Linked DNA regions of Daphnia pulex. The protein of the gene in region 1 interacts with the protein of each later gene in a pairwise test. Links are inferred from orthologs where the notes say so. Each region holds a gene or a part of one and is shown in the gene's direction. Other genes may lie near its edges.

Region 1 (10,437 bases):
AACTCGCCCACAGACCAAATGGGATCCTTGGACAGCAGTTAAGTTAGTAGGCCGGCGGTAACAAAATAAAGGAAAAATATAAAAAAAGATATGGCAAAGTCGGGAATTGATGGATGGAATCGACGAAAGATAAAAGAAGTGCGCACACACACAAAATGGATGAGAGGGGCGAGAGAGATAGTCGGAACGGGTTCACATATTCGTGACGAATTCGACCGCATGTAGGGTGCGTTCATCTTGGGGCCTACATTATCCAAAGTGGAAAGGAGTTGCGACAGGGGGGAAAAAAGAAAAACGAAATTTTACAAAAAGAATGGACCTAGAAAAATACCCTCGGTGGCGAGTTAAAGTAGAAAAAAATACGAACACAAGTAGGAAAATGTGGGCATGTTGTATCCTATCCACACACACACAGCTGCGGCTTGTGTACGTGCATGCGCCCTCACCCAAAAAAGAAGAAGAAGAAAAAAAAAAGTCCGACTGGTTTACGAGTCCAATTGTTCGTCGGTCGCCTTAAATTTACTTTTTTTTTTCCATCCAAGGAAAGAAGGAGGAATACAAGACCATTTTTCACACGACCGCAAGGTAATACAATCGGTGGATATGTCAAGGAATTACCTACAACCCCGACAACGATCAAGACCGAATTCTAAAAATAAAAGCCGAAACATTTCAGAGCTACAGAAATAAAGAAAAAAGATGAAGGACGTTCCGCGTCTTAAATGGAATTGAATTGGAATCGGTGAAAATAAAGACATTATGAACGTATAGTTACCTCCCACGGTCTGGCCTACGAGTGTGTCGACGAGCCAGGGCGTGGCTGTACACAAGAAAATAAGCGGGTGGGAATATTACAGAGGGAAAAAAAAAGGAAAAGAGCGGACAAAAAAGAAAAGAAGAAAAATACAGACTCTCCTTTTTGACTTGCACGCTATCTCTCTCACTCGACTCTCTCTGGAGGCGTCTGTGTTTCGTGCACTTGCCTATTCTTCTTTTCTGTCTGTCTAGCGCGTATTTCTTATTCGTCTTTTTTCGGGGTCCGCGCGCGTCTGGGCATAAATCAAACCCTACCCAAATATGGCCATCGACTTGATAACAAGCTGGCAACGAAGAGGTTCAAAAAAAAAAAATAAAATATGAAACTATCAAGAGAGAAAAACCTGCGCAAAGCATCGCCGTCCCCTTTTGTGTTTTGCAACCAATCGCTTCTTTCCGACCTCTTCATTATTACTGGGTCCCGTTTTTTTTTTCTTTTCTGGCCGCCAACAAAATCATCATCATCATTCATCAGCCAAGATGATGGGGGCCAGTTTGAGAGGGGTTGAACGGAACTTTAAGTTGGATGGCTTCATCCAACTAGTTACTCATTAAAGAGGGCGACAGAAGCAACAACAAAAGCTGAAAAAAAGACACACGTCGTTTAAAAAATGAGGAACAAAAAAGAGTTCGTGATCGCAACTTAACTTTGGACCCTTTCGGCGTGATCGTGAAAGAAGAAGGAGAAGGAAAATAACGACGCCGATGCAAGACAATGAACCGATATGAACCCCGCAGGGTCCATCCACAAACCTTGAACTAAACCTTCCCCCTTTATTTTGTTCCCATCCAAACGTCTCAATTTAAAATGGAGAAGAGAAAAAACCCGAAAAAAGATATAAACAACTTTTCTTCTTCTTCTCCTTTGGTAATTTATTTAGGTAGAGATAGTAGCAACTAACGTTTTATAGAGGAATTTAAGTCGCTAATCTCTTTGTCTCTCCATCCATCTGACGGTATGCTGGCTTCATTATCTGAAGAAAACCGCCGGCTCCGCTACCAAGAGGAATTATCTCTTTGCCTGTTGTTGTGCGCTCGTAAATCGACCAACAAGAGAGAGGAAGCACTTTTGCTATACACCACTATACTTGCCACAGCTACAACACGTTTATGAAAATGCATTTTGAACTTACCATCTGCCGATTGTTGTTCCTTCGTCGGCTTTCTCAGTCCAGCAGCTCCATCCAATGGATTCCACAATCTTTTAAAAAACAAAAGAAAATAAAATGATTATTATTGGACAAACTCAATCAAAAAGAAATCGCATTCAAACTGTTTTGAAATTTCATTCGCTACGGTAATTGGAAGCTTAAAAGCTCGGCCATTTCAGTATTTCATCAAGGTGCGGTCGAGATGAATAGATCAACTTTAAACCCCCCAAAAAAAGGAGTGTGAAAAAGTGAAAACGAGAAAAACAATTTCAATTTGGAAACACAAAAAAACCAAAAGGATATAACAATAAAAAGCGAATAGGCCTAGAAGTGAGCCCCCCATCTTATAACCCCCTCTATAACCGATCGCCTATTTCCATGAAGTAGCCAGAGCCACTATATCCAGCCTACACATGAGAAACTATAAGGAGAATAGCCATTTCGGGGCGGTTTTATTTTTATTTTTACGATGATTTTTATGATATTGACTGGGTTTTTACTCCGCCGCTTCTGCTGCTGCTTCTTCTTCTTCCTTCTGCTGGTGCGGTGGTGTTATACAAGAGTCGTGAAAATAAAATAAAAAATAAATTGGGGAGAGAGAGAGAGTGAGTGAGGGAAAAGAAAAACCAGAACACACCAAAGTTTTCTCGTCTCTTGTCAAAATAAAAACGCGCACCGCTCGCGCTCATTTTCGCCTCTTTCTCTCACTGGAAATAGTCAAAAAAAAATTTTAACGATTATTTCCCCTCTCTCGAGTGACTCAAACTTTTATTTTATTTGTCTCTCCCCGTGTTGCGTCACACGCCATAAGACACTTGTCTAGCGGCAGTAATCTTTAAAGCTCTGCAACTTCTTAAAAACCAAAGGAAAAACAAAAGACAAACAAACAAAACGGTGCGCTATAAAGTGACAGACTGGCCACAACGACCACTTGAGGTCTTGTGCTCTAAGAGGGGAGGCTAAACAAATAAACAAAAAAAAACAACACGTAAAAAGCAAAAGAATAATAATAATAAAAAAACAAACGGCAAATAAAATAAAACGACGGTGTACATATTGAATGTAATGGCGTCCATTTCAGCCGCCGTGATGACTCTAAATAGCATAGTCGTTGATTCCTTGGCGAACGGTAGCGCTTGAAAAATAAAAGGGATAAAAGAAAGAAGAAGAAGAAAAAAGGGAACCGTCGTAAAGATGATGATGATGACGCCATCGACCATACAAGAAGAAGAAGAGAAAAGAGCCAGCCAAAGTTACACACACACACACACACATCCAGCAGCAGCAGCGGGGGGCTTTTTTCTGTGTTGAAGTATCTCGTTCGGGATAGGATCGTTTCGTCGAGTCTTTATATACACACAGACACTTGCACGGTGCCTGCCCTCATCAAAATGACCCTAATAACTTGATTGAATTGCGCATAAACATCAAGTCGAATAGGCCATCAAAAGCCCTCGGAAAAAAAAGAACCATCTCTTCTCTTCTAGCAGTGGCTCAGACTATATCACGGCCGGCTCTCGACACACCATAGAAAACGCGTGTAACACACACACACACACACACACATTTTTTATTATTATGATGATGATTATTTTGTGTTTGTGTTTCCTTTTTTTTTCTTTTAGTTTTGGTTACACCGTCGCCGTCGTCGTGATTGCTGAATCACATCCGATGTGTTTTATAGACAAACAACACAACTCCTGCCGCTGTGAAAATGGCCCATTGCTGATATTGTTATTGCCCATTTGGTGGTTTTGTTATAGAAACGGACGTTTTATTTATTTTTTTTCTTTCTTTCAACTCACACAACAATCAAGAAGAACTTATCCATCAATCCAAACGGGCAATTCAACACAACAACGGCCTTCACACAGCATTGGTTGACAAATAACGGCAGCAGCTCATTCCTGTTCATCATTTCCCAACGAGAGAAAGACACGAAGCAGAGAGAAAAAAACAAAAATACAGCGATAGCAATTGTAACTTGTAATTGTCTTGAATTTTCTTTTGGCATGACAAGATGCAATTGTAAAAAAAAGAGAAAATACAAGGAGTCATAGATTACTTTCTATATTTATTATTTTGTTTTTCCTTCCCCCTCAAATTAAAGTTGCTGCACTGAAAAAAATCAAATAAAACATAACCAGTGCGGGTTATGTAGGCCTCCCAAAATGTTTCAACTCAAATTCTTAACTCTCTCTCCGGCTGTATTCGAAGGCCGAATCCAAGTTGTAAAAAAAAATAGGGGGGACGACACATCCAGCAGACTTTGTGTGTAAGCTTAATACTACGTGTCTTATATTTTAGGCCTAGAAAAGCGACAAGAGTTTGAAAAAAGGGGGGGCTGGATAGCGGATCCCCACCAATATAACCCCTTGTATAAAATCTACCAAGAGAGCGAGAGAGAGAGTGGTGGTGGTATATTCATATATTGGATTCCTATGGGCCTTCCCTTAAGAGTTATACAATCTCTCCTGTTATTGGGAAAGAAACCTTTTTTCTTTCTTGTGTATTGCGCTGGATATATATAACCCCAAAAAGAAGAGAAGGATGGAACATAAAAATTGAAGGCAAGAAGAAGAAGAAGAAGGAAAGAAAAGGGACAGTCTTGGCGGCGGATAACTGCTCTAAAACGTAACCCTTATCTCTTTTCTCTTGGGTCTCCCCCCGAAAAAACAACCATGGGTTGGGCGCAACCGGCACATACACACACACACATAGTGCGCATACACACACACACCATATAGGCCCTGGCCAATTTTTATTTGGGGTGGGCATCCTCCTCTTCCCAATAAAACGCGGAGAAGAGCAAAGAAGCCAAAGAGTCGTAAAAAATGCATATCCCTTCTTTGACTCTGTGTGTCCTTCGACCCTTTTATACACGTATATATACATCTATCCTATCCGTGTGGCTATGCAAGAGGTCCCCCCCGATATCACCCGTTTTTCTTCCGACGCAACACCCGACTGACCCCCCAATTCTTCGCAATATAACCGTCACAGACTCACACAGCCGAAGACGAGGGGGTAAAAACTTCTCTAGCTGGAAAGAGGGGGTTATAAAAAAAAGAACGGCTGTAACAATTTCCTTCGGAGTATAACCCCAATAACATCTCCAGCATCTTTGTATAACTTTCCCCACCAGAAGAAGAACTGGAAGAAGAAATAGAAAAAAGGACACGCCACATTCTTGAGCGACTCCTCCTTGATCGGCCGTGGCATGTCCTTCTCACAATCACATCAGTTCCGACTCTGAGGCTTGACCGATCACAATGTTTTGAGCAGCTCGATCACAGAGACATTGTCCTTCAAAAAAATCAAAGTCAAAACCCGATCGAAAAAAAGTTTCGTTGCCCATTCCGTCCATCTGATGGACTCGCAGACAGTGGAGCGCTGTCCGTCCAGCAGCGCTTGACGACACAGTAGTTAGTTAATAGCTAGTCTCAATATATAACCCAGTCAGTGAGTTGGTGATCGTTCAGGTGCAACTAGAAAAAACCCAACAAAAAACAACAACGTTGGACATCCGAAAATATTTCGTCGCAATCATTATCGGCATCCATCCATCCATCCGTCTGGCTCCCACAAGTGCGGACCTTGTTACCTTTTTTCGTGCGTGTGTTGTGTGAGTGTGTGTCTGTGTTTCGAGGCCTCCAGAAAAGAAAAAATTGTTGAGGTAGTCGAGAGAGAGAGAAAGAAAGAGAGAAAGAGGAGTCGAAAATTGCGAGTTTCCTGTCTGTTGGTTGAGCGGAAAGTGCCGGGCCGATGACGACGCCGAAGGACGGCCATTTCCACGCCCGACGCCAACGGATTACGCAAACCGCGACTACTCCCTCCTCCTGCTCCGCCGCCGTCTTCTTCTCTCTTTCTCCTTATTTTATCGCTTCATTTCCACAAGAGATTCGGCAAAAGAAAACGCAACTAAGAGCCGCAAAAAGTCCTGGGTGAGTTCACAGTTCTTTTTATCCTCCTTTTAAAAAATAATTTCCCGCGCTAGTCATACATTAGCGAATAACCTTATCGCCAAACTCCGAGCGATTGGCACCGACCAATAGATTGACTCTCAAAACAGCAGTTGGATCGTCGATTTCAACACAGTTACAAATTTTTCAAAAACATTTTTTGGGTGGTTTTTAAAAGTTAAAAGGGACTCGGCGGCGATGTTCAAGGAGCCTCCCAGGAGTTGTAGGCCTAACGCTAAAGGCGGCGGTTCAAATGGCTAATAAAAAACTTTTAAAAAGCACTTTGTGACGAATTGTGCCCAACTGTTTACCCCAAAACACATTACAGGCCTATCATTCTTCACCATTTTCTCTCTCTCGAAAAGTCAACTAACGATATACTATATATTTGTTGATTCAATTTGTTGGTATCGAGAATAACCGCTGAAACGCTTCGAAAGATCATTAGGAGCCCCCCTCACCGAAATAGGCCTAAAGGTCACCGTATAGGATATACTATCTAGTCTGCGCATACATGTAGCCTACTAAAAACCGACTTGGATAAATCATTCTTGGTAATAGCAGCAAGCCAGCACACGCGTATTGATGATTGTTTTACTTTTTATTTTATTTTTTCCCGGGGAATAACGAAGAAAACAAACTGCGGTCGATGTTTTTTTTTTGTTTTTGTTTTTTTCTCTTCTTCTTCCTCCGTTCGTGACTATTGGTGCGAGTTTTTTTTTTGGGAAGCCAGCGTCGGCATAACGAAGTATTTATCCCTTTTTATTTTTTTGCCCGTCTTTCCTTTCTTCTCCAACTTCTCTCCCAGTGACTTTCGGTTGGTGTCGACTCACGACGCCCAAATTACGTGTGTAGATTAGAGAAGAGACGACACACAAACAGACAAACACAGACACAGCGGCGCGCAAAGTCAAGCCAAGTATGCCGCGTGAATGTTATATAGGACCGGACGGGGTGGAGCGGCGGCCGCAAGAGAAGAAGAAAAAAACCAAACCAAACAAAAATGACTCCAGTAGAGTGAAAAGAGAGCGCCCAGCAACGTCGACGGCTATACTAAAACCTACACTTCTCTATACGCATAAGAAATATCAGTAATATGTAATTTAGTCAGAGCTGCTGCTGCTGCTGCTGGCTGCCCAATTTCTTGCCGTCTTTACGCACAAGTCGCGTTTCGTAACAACATTACACAACGGCGGCGGCGGCGGTTCCATTTCCCACACACGGCCCCAACAGTCCGTGTTTTCTTTTTCCTTCTCATTTAAATGACCAAATAAATAAATACATGTTGACTGAAATGTATATCCACATCGCGATGTGCATATATACTCGAGTAGTATACATACAGCCAGAGAAATATGCGTGTTAATGCTTCCAGTATATACATACGTACGTATATATACTACATATACTCAGAGCGTACGAATATAATCATGATAATTATCTGGGCGTCGTCGACTTCTTCTTCTTCAGTTCGGTGGCTTCGACGTGGTGGTGTTTGTCTACTCTACGACATCTAATACAGAAATCTTATAGCTACTGCCTAGCCAGCCCATAACTACACATGTGTACAGTTGGGATATATACTTGCTAGTGGCCTACTATTTCTACCATTTCCGCCGAAGCTCGCTAGCTCTCAATGACTGCACTGTTTATTCTTCTTCTTCTTGTATAGTTCCTCACATCCGGCGCGTGAGGTCGGGAGGGGGGATATGCTATCTGGAAAATGTTATACATAACGTCAAACTGAAATCATAATAATCATAATCATAATAATAATAGGCCGTATACTAAATACATAAAATATAATGAATTGCGGGGGCCGTGATCAGGGCTGCGTGAAGCTGCCGGGACACGCGGAAAATAGAAAAGAAAAAAAAACAAGAGTCCCATAGCTATGGGAGCCGAGTAGAAGGCAGAAGACGAGAGTTCCGTTCCGCAGATATAACTACGGATGGTTTCCTTGTCTCCATAAATATTTCCCAAGTCGAAAGAAACAGAGGAAGGAGTCGGAAGAGAAAGAAGAAGAAGAGCTAGGGCGATCTATCGGATGCTGCTGGCAGCAAATCAAGAAGACGACGGCGACGACGTACAGTAGTAGTGTAGTAGCACTTTGGATGACTGCCATAACACAAAGTGAAATACTTTTGTAGACATCACCGTAGGCTCAAACTGGGAAAATCTATATTTATTCAAGGATTCACATCATTTTGTTTTAAAAAAAAAAAAGAAAAGTCATGAGACAAAAATTTACAAGATTTGGACAGGAAAAAAACAAAAGTGCCGGGCGCTATATGGAAAGGTTATTCGTTTTAAGGTTGTGACCCCCTTCGAAAAAATAAAAGGTGGTCATCGATATAAACTATCTTGGATAGAGGGGATACCTTGTAACTCTAATTTCAAATTGTTTTACTAGCTATCGGCTTTTGTTTTTTTTATGGCCTCCCTTCGATTGAACCGAGAAGTTGCGTCTGATTGTGTCCTGAGCGAGAGTCGGTGAGGTACTCTCATGAGCGCCAAAGGACTCAAGGACGAAAGAGATTGTCAAAAAAGGGAAAAAATCCTTCATCCTCGAGTCTGGGACACAAACACAGGTCTGCTGCCTATTCATTTATTTATAAGCTCGCTCAGATTCTAGAGTGCGCATAATAGTCTAATATACAAAGTTATACTGCTATCAGAGAAGTAGGATACCTATAGGCCTATTTTCGATCCTCCCTTTCCAGAACACCCTTGACATGGGAGAGCCAACAAAATAGGGGGTCCCTTTCGCTATAGTGTCGAGGCTCTGCACGTCAAAGCTCCGCCCATCGCCGGCAATAGCGCAGCCAATAAAAAGAGGGATAACGGCAGCAGTAATGGCCGCCGAGAAGCCGCCGCCGCCGCCGCTGCCGCCCAGCATTTTTCTTTTTCTTTTTTCGCCGTGTTGGCCCGAAAAGAAGAAGAAGAAGAGAGCCAAGAAGAGATTCTGCTGCTGGCACGGCCTATATATATACACACACACACACATCCTCTATGAATTTAGAAAAGAAAACGCGCGCTGTGCTCGACCGCAATAAATCACCACGCCAGCTAACAAACATGCAGACACACTCAAGTCCCGACTGAATAGAAAATGAATAATTTTTTCTTCTTCTTCTTCTACGAGAGAAGAAGAAATTTCTTAGCTGGTATTCTCTCTCTCCATAGCAGATGCTTCTTCTTCTTGTCTGTTCCCAAAGGGGGGAAAAACAACTCCCTTTTTCTTTCTTTTTTTGAGATTTTGATTGGATGAACCCCAAAAAGTGATTTATTCACAATCAGTTTACTCTCTCTCTCTCTTGAAAAAAAAAAAAAATTGGATGGATGACGCAAGAACTAAATCAACCGAACCCGGCGCATAGAGAAATTAAAGGCATCTATACTACACAGCTTACACTGAGTGAGAGACCATGACGGTTGAAAATCATTGCACGGTTAAGTTACTCATGGATATAACCCTACCCCCCTCTTACACTGGGTACGGCCGCGTGCGTTTTTTTTTATAGGTATATAGGTGTATATGTGGCGGCATTGTTACTCGACTGGCCGCCTGAGTTGTTTGTACACACACCGGTGGATATATACTCCACTGCCGAAGCTCTTTTTTTATTTTTTTAATAGAGTCATTAAGGCTCCATATAAAGGAATAAGAAGAAAAACGGTCGGCGGAGCAAGAAGAAGAAGAAGAAGTTAAAAAAAAAAAAAAAAACGCGCGCGCACAACGAGACAAATAATAATAACAATGATAATAATCATCATCATTATCAACACAATCATAAAAAAAAAGAACGAGCCGAGCCCGGAATCGATGGGGAATCGAGCGCCGGTAGGCGGGTACTCACGAAATGACCACCCTCCTCCTTTATTACGAAAACAACAAAATTCGTCGAATTTCTTTAGACACAAGGAACCCCGAAAAAATAAATAAATAAAAAATAAACTCAAAGACAAACTGACCCGAGGAGCCAAAGCTGGCCAACAAGAAAAAGAAGACATTATCGCCTCCTATGTTATCATTTTCTCCCACTCGGGAGAATTTTAGTTTGTAATTTCCGTGTTGTTTGTGCGCCCTTTTTTCTTCTTTTTTTCGTAAATGAAGTAGCAAGCGCGTAATGAAGCGATCCGCTTTCATAGTCTCTCAACGACGCGATTGCACGCCAGTCATCCCATCCGAGCCGGGCAAACAACCAACGGACGCGTATACAACATCAGTATATACCGACGGCTAGTTGTTGTAATTACAAAGGAGAAATGCGCGTGGTGGTGGACTATATGGTGGTGCCCGCAAGTGCTCATTCAGATTGGATTGCACTGTGTGTGTGTGATATTGCCGGCCGTTCGTATTTTCCCCTTCGCCTTTGGCCAGTAGGAAGAGAAGAAGGGGGAACAGAAAACGGGCAAGATATTATTAAGGGCGCTAGATGAGCGCGTGGCCGTGTATGTGTGTGCAACATACTAGTCGTTGCGGCGGCCATTTTGGACGCTATTAC
Region 2 (10,479 bases), on another chromosome or scaffold:
GAACGTCTTTTTCTCTTGAGTAGCGCAGTGTCGGTGAAATTGAAAAACGATAGCCTTAGTGGAGGATCTACATCAAGACATTGTGTCTGTGTGTGTGTATAGTTTAGACGTTGGTAAACAGCTGACACACACTGGTCGAGATGACTATCAGAAAAGGGGACCAAACTTTGAGATGGAGACATTTGAACTGAAACGTCCAGTTGTGATAATATCCGCCTTCTAATAATCGATTCAAATCTTAGACGCGCACGACTTTTCCAAAGGATTTATCACGCCCATCATACTATGTAATGTGAATTTGTTTATGACTTGGAAAAGTCCGGGTCGTTATATTTTTAAATTTTGACCAGGGCGGAAATCCATTCAGATCCATCGTCAAACTGACTGGCCGGCATAAGTGTGAACACAGAGCAGAGCGACCAGCCATGAATATATAGAGCTGTAAGAATTTTCAACTTATAGCAAATATAGACATTGAAGGGGGGTCGACAGAATAAAAACTGGGGGTTCAAAAAAGAGAGGAAGCCATCATCCAATAGTAGAGAAATCAATCTTCTTTTGATTCCGGCAAAAGGCCTCAAACATTCAGCGAGCTGTGCTGAGCAGCACTGCAAAAGAGGAGAATATAATCGGACAACAATTGAACGAGTTCCAGTAGGGGACAAAAAGGAGAGTGGCCGTATACACACACAACAACAGTCAAGTGATCTAGGCCGATTTGAGCTTCTCTCTGTCCGTCTCTTCTCCTGCGTGCGCGCGAGTGGAACGAGCAGAGAATCAAAAAAGAGAAAAAAAGATCTCACGAGTGAACACAACTGTGTGTATAGGGCGACAATGGCAGCGTCGTTTGTACACGCCGCGTGGTTTCTGACCTGGAAGAAGAAAAACCATTCAGACAAAAATCAGAAGAAGAAGAAGAAGAGGACCTCTTCTTTTCAACTTCTTCCTTCTTCTCTCTTCTCCACATCTCGGTGCGGATGTGTATAATAACCCCAACTGCGGGGTTGACTTGTACTCATATCAAAAGAAGAGTCAACCATGCGAACCAAGGGACTCTCTACCACCAGTATCCGTCTGTATACTACATACATACGCAATATGGCCGGCTACTGGGCAGATCAGAGTCACAGAGTCAGCGCTTATTCAATACAAAGTGAACAAACACCGTGTACAGTAGACTATATATATGGGGGAAAAAACAGTAGGGAAAAACGGAACCAGATCTTCATTGGCCAGGATATGTGTACAGCAGACTAAACAACGTTTAATCCTCCATTCTTATCGGCGGGCCTGTAGAATTTGTGCAACGAAAGAAAAAAGGACAGAAAAAAGGGGGTTGCAATATGGTTGCATGCTTCAGCACCCTCAGACCAGGGACAAAAAAATACACGTACACACAACATAGAGAGAGAGCTAGTATATGTATATGTGTGTGTACCTTCCACAACAAAAAAGCTGGAATCAAAAACACACCAGGACATTTATATAAAAACCCCCTGCTGCATATCCAAGAACCTTTAGGGGACGATGAATTTCCGCCATTATGCTTTTTTTTCTTCTTCTTCTATTTTCTATAGTCTATGTGTGTGTGTGTGTCTACCCTCTTTTTTCTTTTTATTATTCGGCCTGCGGTTTGTCACAAGGACAAATCGGCCAGCACACACCGAGCCAACTATAATACAAGAGGGAGAGTTTTGAGCTCACACAAAGCGGATGCATGATTTCCTCCGCCGAGATGATCACTTCAACATGCATTTTATATCTTGTGGATGTATGGGAATATGCACGGGAATAAAAAATGAGGAGGTACCGGTGTGGCGGCAGGCTCCTCTCGGTAAAAAAATTGTTTTGAACATTGCACTTTCCTTCAAGTGTTTAAAATTCAAATATTTTCAAATGTGATGGTTTTCTACCCACAGAAAAAGTTGTGAGGTACAAAACAAAACAAGCCTGATCTGCAGTCGTTCGACTAATGAGATTTTTAGTGAACCCTGACTGAGAAAAAAAACAAAAACGGAGAGAAAACAGTTGCAGTCAAGAGTCAACCGCCTATAGCTCAGGAAGAAACATAGTCTGTGACTACGTAACGATTTATAACCAACCCCACCAAAAACCGCCAAAAAAGAAAAATAGAGATCAATTTTGTCTCCTACCTTTGTGCCTGGGAAATACAGCCAGGCATCTACTTCAGTTGCTCCATCCATCCGATGAAGAGTTAAATGACACCAGACGGGATAGGGTAAAAAGGGTGTCCCTCGTGAATACACCCACATTCACATGGGCGTACACAACACATTTTGAAGAAAGAGTTAGAGAGATCCATAACTCAATTGACAACGGACGTTTCTCCAATTGAAGGGGATGCTGTTTATCTGAATGAAAAATAAAAAATGGGTTACGAATAAATATTGAAACAACAAGTCAGGTAAAGATGAAAATGAAACACTGATGGGTAAACCTTGATTGTTAATAAATGGAAGAATTTAAGGTTTAAATTTAACACACTGCATTGATGCAAGTCATGCATCATTCAAATATGTGGCAGGTCACAGGAAAAAGTAACGAAAATCATTACCCAATCGATTAACCTGAGATTGTTGCTGGTGACAGGTTGCCAATACCTGCCCAAGAAAAACTTGCAAATTGTGTAGTCATGATGGCTCTGGTCTCAAATCTGTAAAAAAAGAAAAAAGGGTTACATAGTACAACAAACTGCCATGCATCAACAGGGCAATCACATGGCAAATGCTAGTCAGAACTAACAATTAACAAATTTGGAACTGGTTTATCTCTTCTATAGCTTCCACAATCATTGTAATAGTATTCTTAGTATTTTTTACCCGCTTAACAGCACGGAGTATAACAGTTATCAAAAAGAAATATAGGCTCTAAAAGAAATCTTGAACCATGCTTAAACTTTGTCTCTGCTTTGTCTTCCCGAAATTTTCAACTCAACAAGAGCAGACGAATTTTATTCTAATTAGTCATGCTTACGATAATAAAATATCGATTAGTAATTAGAATTTTATGATCAAAAATCAAAATCCAAACTGCTTAAAAACGACAAGGGAATAAGTTGAGGAAATAAGTTTTAGTTTAATTAAATTAAATAAGTCAAGGGTGGGGGGACTGTGAGTCGGCCATGTGAGAAAGAAAAAAGGAAAAAAATCCAATTCTTTTCCACCACTGGCTCTTTTCTCTCCAACACTTTTAATTCGACTCAACAATCAACGTGAAAGGGCGCCCGTCGGTTTAACCGGTTCCAGTTTCATTCTCCAGCTCACAATCATTTTCTATTCTCTTGATTTATTTATTTCTGTTTTTCCAGCTGTGCAATTGACGAAACGATGCCAATTGATGCCGAAAGTTCAAACGGAATACAGACACGTCATTCATTCAATTTCAAAGTCATAAGACAATTGACGCCAACTTAACAAAATAAAAATAAAAATCTGAAAAGGCATCCAGCTTTGATCGCACTGATGGGATTTATAAGAATGATGGGGAGAGAGAAAAAAGTCAAAAGAAAGAAAAATACAAATACAAAAAAAACCTCTGGGAAACCGAGTGGAAAATGCCGTTGGAACCTCGTCTCAAAATATTAGAAAATATTTGTCAATGTTGTACGGCATAGAGGAGAGCCAAATGTGTGTGTGTACACCTACTCCGCATCTATAGCCGTGCCAAGTATAGAGACGTCTGAATGTGTACACTATGGATAGGATAAAATAGCCACACAACAAAAACACGTATAGGAGCAAGGATGGATGGATGGATGGATGGAAAGTGTAAACGAGGGGAGGGAGGTGTGTCCTGGAACATGGAGCTTTCTAACGCGTCTATACACGTATACACACAGTGTGTGTGTGTAGACAACAACAATAAGAGTATGAAGATGTTTCACGTCGGGGGGCTCTTATTTTTCCTGTACATACCCCGACGGGCGACGGCCCAGCAATTTTTCTCTCTCCTCCGCATCTGTGGGAACAAACCAGAAAATAAAATAAAAATAAAACAGGGAACCTCCCCTTTCCGTTCGAGCGAACGCTCCGCCCCCAGCCGGAGCTTCATTGGCGGCTGCCATGATGGTGGGAGGAGCCGGACCGGCCGCCGGAATGGTCTCCTTCCATCCAGCGAGAACGAAAAGGGGGGCGAGTCTTAAAGACGACCCTGGCCAAAGACCAACAACACACAACCAGCCCCACCAAAAAAGAACTTTAGGTCCCGCCCACCTGGCCAAACATTAAAACTGGGAGCCCATCTGTGGTGTGGACATTATTCGGCTAGCCAGCGCTGATCAGGACAGACGTACTCTTCTTGTTTCGTTGCCCAGCAAAGTTTTGGTTTTTATTTCCTCTCTCTCAGCAGTTGTCAACTATTGACCTTTATCTCAAATTTTGGCCAGTTGTTGTTGTTGCCATCCGTCAATTCGGGTTGTTATTAATAACTGACAGCTGTCCGTCACATTCGCATCTCTGCCCAGACTACAAGTGTGAACTTGCGACCAAGTTTAGTTTTTTTCAACAGCAAAAGTGCCATCGTTATTGAATTTTGTGTCCAGCATCGAGAGGCAGCAAAGGCCGTTAGCGAAACGCTGGACTCGCTTCTCGAACTGGCTTCTGATCCCAGCACTCCCAGGACGACGACGACGACGGGCAGCAGCAGTGGTAAGATGGTCAAAGTGGAGGGCCCCCAATCTCTGCCACAACCGGCCATGGCCCGCGCTCCGCCGTCCTTCTCCATTTTGTCTCTCCTGCCGGAAACGGCCGTCCACCACCGTCACCACGAGACGGCCCCGTACCTGCACCACCAGCAACAGCAGCAGCACCGGCCCGACTCGTCCACCTCCTCGACGGCCATGAAGGAGAACGTGTACAGTGACAACAGCGAAGTGGACGACGTCTACACCGACGAGGAGCAGGACCTGGACGTCGAGGGCATGGAGGCCGTCAGTCCGTTGCGCTCCGACGAGAGCGAAGAGGAGGCCAGTCTCAAGGATCTCAACTGCTCCTCAGAGTCGTCCAGCACCATCAACCTGAGCAGCGGAGGCGGAGGCAACAACAAAGCCGACAAGCCGTCCAGCAAGAGCCACAAGGGCGTCAAAGGTGAAACGGGCGACGAAGAATGTGCGGATGGGCCGACCAAGACGTCCAGCAAGAGTTCCAGCAGCAATAAAAAGGACGGCCAAGACGAAAAGTCCAAGAAGAATGAGAAGCCTCCGTTCTCCTACAACGCCCTGATCATGATGGCCATCCGGAGCAGCGCCGAAAAGCGTCTGACCCTCAACGGCATCTACGAGTTCATCATGAAGAACTTTCCGTATTACCGGGACAACAAGCAGGGCTGGCAGAATTCCATCCGCCACAATTTGTCGCTCAACAAGTGCTTCGTCAAGGTGCCACGCCACTACGACGACCCGGGCAAGGGCAACTACTGGATGCTCGATCCGTCCAGCGACGACGTCTTCATCGGTGGCACCACCGGCAAATTGCGCAGGAGATCCACCGCAGCTTCCAGGTCCCGATTGGCCGCTTTCAAGCGCAGTTTCGGTTTCCCGTCGTTGGCCGGCTTCCCTGGCATGCCGCCCGTCCATCCCGGCATGGCGGCCGCCGCTGGATTCCACCCGGTGGCTCCCAATTCGGCCCATCATCCGGGATCGGTAGGCCAGCATCCGCATCATCCTTACTCGACGCCGACGGGAGCCTGGCCCGGTCTGGCCGCTTCGCTCTGCAATTCGGCGGCCGCTTTGTATCGCTATAGCACGGCGGTGGGTTACGCGGCCTCGGCCGGCTACGGCAATCTCCTGGCCCATCCGGGCAGCCATCCGTCGGCCCACCATCCGTCGCAAGTGCCAACAGCTCTGGGCGGCGGCTTCAGCTCGCCGTTGGCCGGCAACAACAAGATGGGCTCGATCGTCTCGACTCCGCCAGCTCACCACCACCACCACCCGGCGCACAGCTTCTCGGTTGAGCGGCTGCTGGGCTCGGCCACTTCCGACTCGCCCGTCCGCCACTCGGCCATGCCGCCCAGCTCGCAGCAGGCCATGGGCAGCTCGCCTTTCGGCATGCTAGGCCATCCGCTGTTGCAACAGGCGGCCGCCTACGCCGATTTTTACGGCCAGGGCCATCACCTCCGTTTCAACACGGGACTGATGGGCATGGGCCTACCACCGTCCGTCTCTCCCCAGCAGCAGCAGCAGCAGTTAGCCCGTTCCAGCTCGACCTCACCGCTGGCCGCCACTCCCACCTCGCCGCCATTGATCTCCAGGACCAGCTAGAAAAATCCGTCATGACGCGACGGACATCACCAAAATGACCCAGTTGACACACACATAATTGACTTGGCCGCTTGCGGTCTTGGTTAACTTATACATATGTAATACCGGATGGCTGGGTTCGAGCTACTTCCTGTCCATTTTTGTACATTGAATTGCGTCTCCTATTCAAGAAGATCAAAGTCTTGATCCGAATGGCTAATTCAATTCGAGTCTGCTCTCCAATCTCTCCTCACCTCTTCATCCTAATTATCAAACCAAACTCTTGAATTATATGGTTTCCGCGTCTTGAACCAGTTCTATTATTATATCCCCGAGTTCAATGTTATATTTGAGAAATGCAAGTAAATGTGCTCCCTCGCGTCTGTGTGTGTGTCTCCTGTACGTATTTGCAAAGACAAAGTTGATAGAGTCTACCTATTCAGTTGCCACTGTACTTGTACATAATTTATAACGATATTATTCATTCAAACTCCTCCCTCTCCCCAAACAAATGGATATGCGTGTCATCTCAGATCAATTACAAAGCGTGTTGAAAAAACAAACTAAAATCCAAACGTCTTTTGAGTTTACTTTATTTCATTTCAACTTTTAAACTGAATCGTTGGGGGTTGTGCCGTTTCAAAGGAATTCCAATCGAGTTTAGAAATTTTTTAATTTTTTTCAAGTTGGTTATTTCAACGGAAGCCATGGAAGATGATGATGAGACTTGCAGCTTTGATGAAATGATTACCGACGGCCGAGAGTGCTTGCTGGCCCGTGGGCGGCATAGTGGCATGTCTTCCAATCTCGTGCACAGTAGGCTAATTGCCTGGGCCGAAAGAGAGAAGAAGATGATGAGGTGTTAAGGGGGGGATCTGGTTATGTTGTACTACACCAAAAGGTGTGCCAGGACATTGATTAAGAGATAATTTATAGCGTCGGCTGCTGCTGCTGCTGGGCGGATCGAGTCAAAAGAGGAATATACACATATATAAACCCGTCTTCATCGAGATTATGGGAAGGATGGCAGCAGCAGCAGCAGCAGGAGAACTCCTATCTCTCTCAAGTCGAGTTCAAACCAACGCGTACGTATATTTTTTATTTTTATTTTTGTTTTCTTATTCATCGGCCGGTACACTATCTCTCTCTCATCAAGAACAAGATTTCGGAGTTTGATGGCTTATTCGGACAATTCCCAGTCGGCTTGTTGTTGAACAACACCAGAGGCCGCTTATTCCATCCATTTTAGAAGAGATCCAGCAGCAGCAGCAGCAGCCATATAAGAAGAAGAAAAACAGGATGATTAAGTGACTGTTAAAGTGTATAAAGCAGACCCAAAAGCGAGTCAGATACATGGTAGGAGAAAGATATTAAAAAAGAGAGAGATGCTGTGATGCTGGCAGCCACTCGGTGCGTCCATTTCTCTCATCACCCGACCTCCTTGATCAAATCTTTTCTTTTTCTATTTGACGTGTATAGTTGGCCCATAGATCCATAACACCCGGAAGAAAACTTGCGACCCCGCGAATCATTCATCGAAGCTTATAATAATTATTATAATATCAAAATTGTCTTTTTTTTCTTTTCCCCAACTGTATTACCCGCACTAGTGTGTATAGTTGAGGTGTATCAAGTCGATATAAAAAGCGGTAGGGTAGGGGAAAATGGCTGGCAGCAACAAGTCGACAGATTTAATGAAAAACGCTAATGATGTTACACAGAGGGCCAGCGCGCAACACAACGGACGCCCCACCGTGAGGGTTATAGTCGAATATGTGTAGACGTTAGGCAGTAGGTAGTAGGTAGAGAGGTGTAGATAGATATAGGCTGGTGGGGCTCTCCTCACACAACCACCAACCACCTCCTTTTTTTTTCTTTCTCCCACCTTCTTCACATGTTGTTGGTTCTCCCTCGACACTCTTATATGTTTGGTGGTGCTTGTGTGTGAAGAAGTTTTGCCATCGGGGCGGCGCGGGAATCCACACACACACTCTGCCGGTGCCAAGCTGTCTGGCCCGTTCACCACACCACAATTCTTATGTACAAATATATATTTTTTTATATTTTTTCTTCGGGTATTTCTTTTGTTATTTGACTTTTTTTTTTCTCTGCCAGGCAACAAGTGCCCTCGTCGGTCGTCCTCCCACCGGGGGAGGCTCTATATATTTCCTCTCTCATTCTCTTTTTCTTTTCAGTTCTTTTATTTTTTCCTTATGTTCATTCTCTTATACGCCAGCAGCCTGGAAAATAAGAGAGAGAAAAAATATTATTTAAAATATAATACAACAACCCAAAATATTAAAAAAAATGAATGTGTTGGAAGAGATAGAAAAGGAGCCGGGCAATTGTACATTTTGATTTTCTCTTTTGGGGTTGTTCCATCATCTCCGCCTCGATTCATTTTGGATTATTTGTAAGCTTCGCTATTATTTGTCCTTTTGAAGGGAATTGTATGGACGGCGATGCTCTTTCTCTCTCTGTGCATGGCCGACAGCGACAACAACAACAACAACAACAATTGGCCCGGGATAATAATCAACTCGGAATAGAAAAGGAAATGGCCGCATCCAAATGAGGAGAGAGAACTGCAGCTGAGTTTTCTTAACCAACCAATTGCCGTTCCCTTTTTTTCTGTTGTTGTTGTTGTTGTTCCCAATTCTTTTCCCCGTCAAAATTTGTTCCCAGTGTCAACTGGGAATATGCAAAACATTCGGGAATAACGAGGATAACGATGTCGGCCGTTTCCCATCCATCCGGAAGCGCGGCTTTTTATCCAGTTCACCGACTCGATGATACACGTAATAGTATAACCAGCCCCCCTTTCTATTAGCTAAGCTGCATTCATCGTTTGTGTACTCTACACCTTGCGTGCAAGTAAATGGCCGCCAGTACACCATCCAACGATGGAATCCAACGTCCACCTCCAACGGCGATTTATTTATTTTTTTCACCTTTTGTTTCTCATTTCTACAAGTGTGTACGTACGTACGTACGTGTGTGTTATTTCGTTTCTCTTTCGCTGGCTGTTGGCTGCTGTTGTGTGCGTGTATTTTTATTACCCCGGCGGTTATAATCCACGCCAATTGGTTATTGACCATATACTCATTCCGGTGTTGCCGTAAATTCTCAATGGATACCATCCATTAAAAAGAACAAACAAGACAAAAAAAAAAACCCAGAAAGAAAGAAAGAAACACACACAAGAAAAATAAAATAAAATAAAAGGAGGAATGCCTTAACCGCATTTGGATTCGGACCGCGCTTCTATGGGTCTCTCTCTCTATCTCTCCGGTCCGGCGTACTCGGTCACTTAATTGCAGAAACGCGCGTGCAGGTTCACCGGCTTGCTGGTGTTCACGAAAGAAAATAAAAGAAACAAAACATGGGCAGGGAAAAAATATTAAAAACCCTGGAAGAAGAAAAAACAAATAAAACAAACAAATAAATAAATAAAATAAAATATAAAACAACGAGAAAAAACCCCGACTTATTATTACTATTTTTTTTCGTTCAAATAATTAATGGGAGAGTATGTCCGCGTCCGCACAATCGTGCACGGACACTCTGCTGCTGGCCAGGTTTTCCGATAGCCCATTTCCTGATTGGGAGGTCCATTTGTTTGGTCCCGATGGGCATTTTGGAGCTTGTTGTTTTCTCTCTTCTTACATGTTGTTGTGTTGTTTGTCGTTGTCAAAATGCCGTTGAGCAGCCGGGCCAGCAGCGGAGAGGGGAGATGATGATTAGAATAAGTTTCGTGTGTATTATTCAGAGAAATGTTTTCACAGGGGTTTTTCACGGGCAACGCTTTAGACAGACAGAGACAAAGAGGTGAGAGACGCAAAAGCCGGGCAAAGAATATCAGAGGTGGAGTCCAGCAGTCGACACTCGGCCGTCACTCAACTCAGCAGCTTTTAAAATAAATATTTAAAAAAAAGAAATATTTATTCCCCAATCAAGTTGGTCCCCCCGAAAACTTCTTCTAAAACAATTCCGGTTTCTCCGGTTTCCAACCTCACGGCCAATTAGTCGTGACAAGACACTACACACACAACAACTAGATCCAGGAATGTCAGACGTGTACCCACCACCACCAAGGTCTACCAGAAAAAAACAGATCAATATATATAATCAGCAGGATCGTCTTTCAGGTGTTGGTCATCTTGTTTTCCTTTTATTTTTTCGTGTCGAATTTCAAAATTTGTACGTGGCCATTGTGTATGCCC

What was found.
Region 2: the proteins of homeotic protein ultrabithorax-like (region 1) and fork head domain transcription factor slp2-like interact in a protein complementation assay, tested with the Drosophila melanogaster proteins (2 studies listed by BioGRID). The link is inferred for Daphnia pulex from reciprocal best matches to the Drosophila melanogaster genes Ubx and slp2.

What each region holds. Positions count from the first base shown.
Region 1 is NC_060024.1:12,331,287-12,341,723, forward strand, and holds the start of homeotic protein ultrabithorax-like, read left to right. Parts: upstream 1-5,151; 5' UTR 5,152-5,911; intron 5,912-10,437. UniProt on the Drosophila melanogaster protein: Sequence-specific transcription factor which is part of a developmental regulatory system that provides cells with specific positional identities on the anterior-posterior axis. Binds the consensus region 5'-TTAAT[GT][GA]-3'.
Region 2 is NC_060021.1:10,365,008-10,375,486, reverse strand, and holds fork head domain transcription factor slp2-like, read left to right. Parts: upstream 1-4,276; 5' UTR 4,277-4,672; coding exon 4,673-6,277; 3' UTR 6,278-6,820; downstream 6,821-10,479. UniProt on the Drosophila melanogaster protein: Transcription factor involved in segmentation. May function primarily as a segment polarity gene. Different levels of slp activity seem to be required in different segments.